2 linked regions of the Arabidopsis thaliana genome follow. The protein of the gene in region 1 binds, or shares a complex with, the protein of each later gene. Each region holds a gene or a part of one and is shown in the gene's direction. Other genes may lie near its edges. The genes, in order: AT4G00585 and AT2G42310.

Evidence for each region.
Region 2: the proteins of AT4G00585 (region 1) and AT2G42310 are in contact, whole or in part, in a cryo-EM structure (PDB 8BEH), measured with the Arabidopsis thaliana proteins. Residues at the interface, in NP_567180.1 of Arabidopsis thaliana: Arg16 (codon at 2,099), Ala17 (codon at 2,102), Lys18 (codon at 2,105), Val19 (codon at 2,108), Trp20 (codon at 2,111), Gly24 (codon at 2,123), Gly25 (codon at 2,126), Pro26 (codon at 2,129), Asn27 (codon at 2,132), Cys28 (codon at 2,135), Arg29 (codon at 2,138), Pro30 (codon at 2,141), Lys31 (codon at 2,144), Trp33 (codon at 2,150), Arg34 (codon at 2,153), Glu85 (codon at 3,167), His88 (codon at 3,176); in NP_181760.1 of Arabidopsis thaliana: Arg31 (codon at 1,951), Trp32 (codon at 1,954), Ala33 (codon at 1,957), Thr34 (codon at 1,960), Pro35 (codon at 1,963), Gly36 (codon at 1,966), His37 (codon at 1,969), Glu38 (codon at 1,972), Lys42 (codon at 1,984), Gly43 (codon at 1,987), Tyr44 (codon at 1,990), Phe45 (codon at 1,993), His94 (codon at 2,140), Leu98 (codon at 2,152), Lys105 (codon at 2,173).

What each region holds. Positions count from the first base shown.
Region 1 is NC_003075.7:250,247-254,337, reverse strand, and holds AT4G00585 (uncharacterized protein), read left to right. Parts: upstream 1-1,739; 5' UTR 1,740-1,846; intron 1,847-2,005; 5' UTR 2,006-2,053; coding exon 2,054-2,230; intron 2,231-3,091; coding exon 3,092-3,181; 3' UTR 3,182-3,498; downstream 3,499-4,091. Other genes in the region: AT4G00590 (N-terminal nucleophile aminohydrolases (Ntn hydrolases) superfamily protein), read right to left, coding at 64-227, 307-558, 646-727, 823-907, 994-1,114, 1,217-1,267, 1,357-1,503; AT4G00580 (COP1-interacting protein-like protein), read right to left, coding at 4,080-4,091.
Region 2 is NC_003071.7:17,623,391-17,626,674, forward strand, and holds AT2G42310 (ESSS subunit of NADH:ubiquinone oxidoreductase (complex I) protein), read left to right. Parts: upstream 1-1,602; 5' UTR 1,603-1,860; coding exon 1,861-2,205; 3' UTR 2,206-2,550; downstream 2,551-3,284. Other genes in the region: AT2G42300 (basic helix-loop-helix (bHLH) DNA-binding superfamily protein), read left to right, coding at 51-119, 244-315, 1,072-1,245.

The sequences.
Region 1 (4,091 bases):
GTTACAGAAGAACAACCAACACCGAGAAAAGCATAAAAACTAAGAAAGATAAGGGAAATATACAGTGCCAATGAAGTACAACACTCTCTAGCTGCAAAACCTCTCATAAGATACTCTCCCGCTCCAGACACACAACATCCAACTAGAAATGGAGCTCCAAATGGTCCTTTAGAGGATGCCCAGCAACCAGAACCATATGTTGCCGCCAAACCTACACGGCCGCTAATCTGAAATACATGATCAGAAAGAGAAGATCAGTTTTACTTTCAGCTCAAAAGAACAACTAAGAATTTGTTGATATATTACCTTCATTGCAATACCGCCACTTGAGGACCCACACGCAATGTGTCCTTCATTGTCAACACAGATTACGCCAACAGTGTCCATGATCTTATCCTCATCTGCAGCTGCACAGGATGATACGTTTTCCTCACATGTTTCATTATTCTCGGTTCCTCTGGGATGTTCTTCAGCAGAGAGAATACTCTTTGCCCCTACCTCAGAAAGCATGGCCTTGAACCTTCTCCACTGATTTCTTGCTCTCTCTGTAACCAGCCACTGTTCAAAAATAACTTAAATCATTCTCAAGGAATAAAACAAGCAGGTGATTGACAGTAAAGCAAAGATAAAGTGGAAATCTCAAACCTGATCAGCTTCTGTGACAGTTCCAGGTATAAGAACACTTTTGGATTTACCCCAACGTCGAGCTCCCTCACCAACCAACAACCTGGGGAGGCAAATCAGAAAGTTCAACCCAACGCTAGCGACAAAACAAGATTCAAATTTGGGTTGATATCAGAACAAAGAAGAGTGATTCGTTACATAGGAGGTATACGGCCTAAGAGAGTTGAGCCAGTAATCTGCTCTTTCACCAACAAAGCAGCAATTTTGATAGCATTTCTGACACCTGATCTACATACAGTTCATCGTACAAAATCTTCAGCCATTCCACAAGTATAAGAACAAGGTTAATATGAGAGCTTTTATGAGTACCTGGAACTGCTCCAACACCACCAAACATCCCTGAATCTCCATCCATAAGACTAGCATCACATTCCACATGACCATCTTCTGTCAGATTAGAGCCTCTACCAGCATTTGTGCTCGGGTCATCCTAATTCAACAAAGATTCACATAGGAATCATTAGAAAACTGAAGAAAATCTACAGAGTTATAACATGTCTTCTTTAATCAGTGACAAAGACCCAACAAATACCTCGAGGACTTGAATGGCAGCTGAAACAGCATCTATGCATTCACCAGAATCCTAAATTCAACAGATAAACCTCAAGGTATGCAATTTGGAGATTCTAAACGATTTGGGCTATGAGAAGAAACTGAAACTCAAATAAGCACCTGACGAAGAATGGTCGACGCAGCTAGGCAAGCGCGTCTCATGACAGATCTAAGAGCTTTCTCGTTAGCCGCCGCATGATATCCGGCCCCGACGTGAACCGCCACGAAAAAGCGTCGACTTTGATCTGCTCCGTCGCCAGCCATCATCGTCTTCAGGCAAAAACAAAAACGTCTACCGTTGTTGAATTAATGATGCAAACATCGTGTCGTTTTTTGGACAACATAAACTTTAAATGGGCTTAAGAGAAAGTAAAAAGAGTTAGAAGGCTCAAATAAACTTTAAATGGTTTTAAATGGGCCTTAAGAGAAACTAATGGATTTTGAAGGCCCAAAATAAAGATTACTGTCCGAGACATAAAAGACCCTGAGAATTCAGAAAATTTACAAACAAATGCCATAACTCGTTTCGCTCACCCTCTTAACTCTTTAGAACAAGTAGAAGAAGTCTCATCTTCTTCGTCTTCTTTGCGATCCTTCTGATTTCACTAAGGTAAGCCGATTTCTGATCACCGGTTCGCCGGAATCATTCTATTTCAATTCTCACTTGTTGAATTTTGTAATAATTTTTAAATGTTAGGGAGGCTAGGGTTGACATCATTTTGATTCTATGTCACTGATATCGATCTGGCTATCTTCATTGTCGAATTAGGAAAAGGAATCAGTTTTTGGTGGAAGTAATTGATCCGATCTAGGAAAAATGGGAGGAGGTGATCATGGACATGGAGCAGAAGGAGGCGATTTCAGAGCCAAAGTCTGGAGTATGACTGGTGGGCCTAACTGTAGGCCCAAACATTGGCGTCGGAACACCGCCATTGCTATGTTCGGCGTTTTCCTTGTGTGCATCCCCATCGCCAAGCTATCTGCTAAGCTTGAGGTATACTTCATTACTTTGGTCCTTCATTACTTCATTACTTTGGTCCTTCAATACTTCATTATAGTACGAATAACATATGAGTAGAAGGGAATAGCTTGGAAGTTGATACTGGAATCTACGCATATTCTTCCCTCACATCTTCTTTGTTCTTGGTCTATGTTTGTCAATAGTTTTATCGGTTTGTGGAAATAGATTTGGATGATTCAAGGAACCGATTGTCTAGCTATTGAATGTTTTACAGTAGATATTAATTGCTACCTGCATCCTGCAAATTTGGATGTTTGGGACCATGCAGTGTGTGTGAAGATATTCTAACAGATAGCGTTAGTTATATGTTGTACACTAGTGTGTTTTTATGAAACGAACAAACTTCGTGTACCCAGTTCTGTATGGAATTCTTAGTCATTGCCATTAATTCATTGGGCATTAGTGTATCAGTGACTGTATAGATTGTGTAATATCTCGCAAAATGGGAACCTATCCGTGATGTTTTTCTCTGACTTGATTTAGATTTGCACCCTTTGAGCTCCCCAAGCCCTGTTTCCCATCACCATGTTACTTTGTGTTGTAGCCTGTATGGTTTTGTAATAGCTATGGGAGATTTCATTGATTATTTTTGTAGTTTGCCTGGTTCTTTGAGAAGAATTCAGTTGAATGTGTAGTTCGACACTGAAATCTTGGTTTGGGTGCAAATGCCTGAAGACTTGCAATTGCTCTTATAAATTGTAGCCTAATGCTTGAGTCCCTTGTGACAAAAAATCTGCACTTGAATTGTTATGTTTTGTGTATGTCCGTGCTACTATATAGTTTCCACTTCTTGTTTGATGTTCACAATTTGAGAAAAGCCCTTTCTGATTTCAGCAAAGGCCACACATGCCAGTACGCCCAATTCCTTCACAGATCTGGTGCAAGAACTTTGGAACCAAGGACGATTACGAAAAAGAGCATTAAAAGTTTTTTTCTTGGTTTGGAGAGAACCCTTTAATTGGTCTTCTTATTTGCAGACAATGTGAGCATAAAAAAAGCGCTTCTAGCTTTGTCTATGGATTTCAGAGTACTGTGAACATAATAATATGTCTTTTTCCTTGCCATGTAGAACAACACCATGGAATCTTTCCAAATTAAGAAATTTCATGTTTTTTTCCATATTCCTACTGATAATCTAGGGGTGGGTTTTATCTGAGGCAGATGCAGAATCCATGTGGGTTTTGAATCATCATTATACGATTTTACATTAAGGCAATGGAATATACAAATTCACATGAAACATGAACCAATCTTATAAATGAACTATTTCTCTACACTAGACGAACAATTACATCATACTTAAGATCTTATTCAAGAGTGATGATTAATTGAAGAAATCCTAATCAAAGCTAATTGATAAAGATCTAAAATTTCAAAGAACTGAACAAATTCAACATGAATTCGACACTCGATCTTAGGAACAAGGAATCATTGTTATGGAACAAGCATTGAATTATCTTTTGTTGCAGGCCCAACAAAGACCTCATAACAGAACAACCTATATCAAGAATAATACAGTGGGAACACATTTCTCAAGAAAATAGTCTCTTCTAAAAGATCCATGAGCTCAATTTCTACTATGATTGATTAGTATGTAGACGGTGGAATGTTCAGCAGTTAATCCTATATGAAATCATGCATGAAAATAAAATAAAAGATATGATTTAATAGAGGAAATAAGTTGCTTAAACCGGGAAAAACATAAAGCATCAAATGTTCAAAAGACAAACCAAAAGAAATCCCAAGACAAAAACCAAAAGTTCAAAAAAGAAGAGATAAAGAGAAGCGATCAATGATCCTGATAAGTGATAGCACACAATCCTTAAGCATCCTC
Region 2 (3,284 bases), on another chromosome or scaffold:
ATGCCTTGTTCTTCTTTCTTTCTGACTGACCAGAAAGCTTTGGCCTGCAGATTCAGGGCACTGCATTGGTTCTGGATGAAATCATTAACCATGTGCAAACTTTACAGCGTCAAGTGGAGGTAGGACTTCTTGCACTATCTTTTGTTGTTGTTTACCTGAAGGTCCTGAACTGAAACACTAAGCTACACAATGTATGATAAAATTGGTGCCACAGTGTCACATAACCGTTTTTCTTCTTTTCAGATGCTATCTATGAGACTTGCTGCAGTAAACCCCAGAATCGACTTCAATCTAGACAGCATACTGGCTTCAGAGGTAAGTATCAACTAATCATATAGGAGAATTAAGGTTGCATGTGATCTTCTTTTACAATAAAAACTCTTAAATTCAATGTTCACTGGGAAAAACTTCCCTTTGACCATGTTACTCGTTTAAGTAACCATAGGGATTATGTTTCTTTGAGTAACCTTTTTAAGTTGTATCACAAAAAGAGAAACTTTTGGATATTTATTGATCCAACATTAATCGACCCTATTCTAGACTAGGCTTAAAGAAGAAGAACAACGTGGGGGAAATAAATACTTAGACCTTACAAAAATGCAGTACAAACAGTGAGATCAAGGACTCTAAAAAATCTTTTGAAAGGACTCATTAGTTCTCTCAATTATATCATACAGAGAGATAAAAGTGGTCAGAAACACGGACCACCTTTGTTCTATGGTCTATGATGCTGTCTTTTTTTTTTATCCTTGCACAATTATTTTTCTGTGGGTCTCAGTCTTAAGTTATTGTTGCTTCAAGTTTCACCTATCTAATCTAATAATCAACTTTTGTTTCTCTGCAAATAACTTTCTTATTAAATGACCTTCTTCTTTTACAGCTTGTACACCATTTAAGAACCAGACCCCACTCATTAAAAACCTTGTTCTTCTAGGATGAGTTACAGTAAAATAGAGCTGGCTTGTTGACTAGATTGAGAATCTAGGATGTTGGATCAATCATCTCTAAGAGAAGCTGATATGTTTTACAAATTGTGTTAATAATGATGAGGTCCAATTATCTTTTCTGCAGAACGGCTCTCTTATGGATGGTAGCTTCAATGCAGAGTCTTATCATCAGCTGCAACAATGGCCTTTCGACGGCTACCACCAGCCGGAATGGGGAAGAGAAGAAGATCATCATCAAGCCAATTTCTCAATGGGTTCAGCTACTTTACACCCAAATCAGGTGAAAATGGAGCTCTAAGTTGGAAACAGTTTGACATGCTTATGTGTATATATAAGAGTTATATATATCTACTAAAGTTTCGATTGTTGAATTAGAGGTAGAAAATGGTTATGATTGTTTCAGGTCTTTGTTCATGGCCTTTCTATATTTACTAGATTCCTCAATGTAGAATTCAGAATGTCTAAATTGCGTTTCCCTTGAGAGAAGTATATGAAGATTTGATATGTTACTGAGCAATTACGACGTCGTACACGAATACTATCATCCAATACTGCTTAACCGACTAGTGTGACCAATTCAATTTGGTCTACCTAAATTATAACCAAACTGCCAGAACCGATTTGGACTACAAAATTTCCAGTCAAACCGTAAAACAAAATGAGAACTGAGAATACCAAGTCATACCGAACATAAAAGAGAGTCAATTTCGTATATAAATCTGTTAGACCGGATAATCTAAGCTGAAACCATTATATAATTCCCAATTAAACTGACAATTTCAATAAACCAAAATTGAAATTCTCGGTTCGGTTCGAATGAAACCTTTTGTAGGTCGTGGTCGTATATAGTTGGACACTTGACAAATCTGAGCATTTCCTTTTTGCTTACAGCGGAAATATCTGAACCAACGCGATGCCGTCGACGCAGTCCTTGACCGTCGCAGCGAAGACGCTACGAAATCGGATCTTCTCTAGGTCTGGATCTACATCCGCCGGTCCGAGTCGGTGGGCGACGCCAGGTCACGAGGAGCGACCTAAGGGTTACTTTATGAACCGTACTCCTCCGGCACCAGGACAGTCGCGAAAATGGGAAGATTGGGAGCTTCCTTGTTACATCACCAGCTTCCTTACAATTGTTATCCTCGGCGTTGGACTCAATGCCAAACCTGATCTTTCAATCGAGACTTGGGCTCATCAGAAAGCTTTAGAGCGTCTTGAGATGGAGAAGCTCGCGACCGCTGGAGATTCATCTGATTAAGCATCACCGTTGGATCTCCGGTTGCTTGATTTGGTATGTCCTTATTCTCCGGGAGTTGAGGAGTTTTTTTACCGTTTAATGATGATGATAACGAAGACTGGAGAGTTAGGGTTTCGTTTGGCCCTTGAACTTTGTTTCAATTCTCCTTTGTTTTGTCGATAATGATGATGTTCATGAAATAAGTGTTCTTTTAACTGTTTAGACGCAATTGCCTTCACTCTCTACTTCTTATTACAATTCTCAAATTTGGTCACTTTTGATTTACTCATTTCTCAAATGATTCAATTTCGACTATTGATTGCTGCATTACTAATTGGAGAAAGAGATTAAACGAGAGTTGTATGCTGATGTTGTGTGCTTCTCTTCCTTAGTTCATGGCTTGTTTATGTTCTCTGTGAATCTCAGGTTTGCTTGTTTCACTCAGTGCAGTGCATATTGATTAGATTAATAGCTACTTTATGTTAGTCGATTCTTATCTCTTTAGATCATCTTTTTTATACTTGTCATTTGTTGTAGTAGTAGTGATAAGCTGATAGTGTAGCTCTAACTAGGGCATGGATTGTTCCTTTGTGTTGTAGACATGTTCGTGATTATAGGTTATTGCAGCGTGCACAATAAGTTTTGTAGGCTTTCAAGTGGTTGGAATGGCATCAGCCATTGTTAGATGCAACACTCTAGATTTCAGTTTTGTCATTTGCTGTATTTTATTAGGCTAGCGTTTGGAGTTTTCATGGTGTCAGCTATTGGTAGATTTGACACACTAGATTTCAGTTTCTTTGACGGTGGTGTTTATTAGGTTTCTACTTAGCTGAGAATAGCAGATGAGAATGTTGATTTCGATCTTATACTTGGACAAGTCTGGAGTTGAAAGTAACTTCACTAGATTTGGGTAGATAATGTTTTAGAAATCATGACTGCTTACCTCTATCTCTATAGATTTTGGTCGATTAATACTATACTGCCTTTGAGTACTACTATTGCTCATAGTTTCCCAAATCCTTTGTTTAGTTTCCTAAAGTGTGGCTTCATATTCTTCTCTTTTAAGTACAAGTACTTTATGCTGGTGTTGGCTTTTTAGC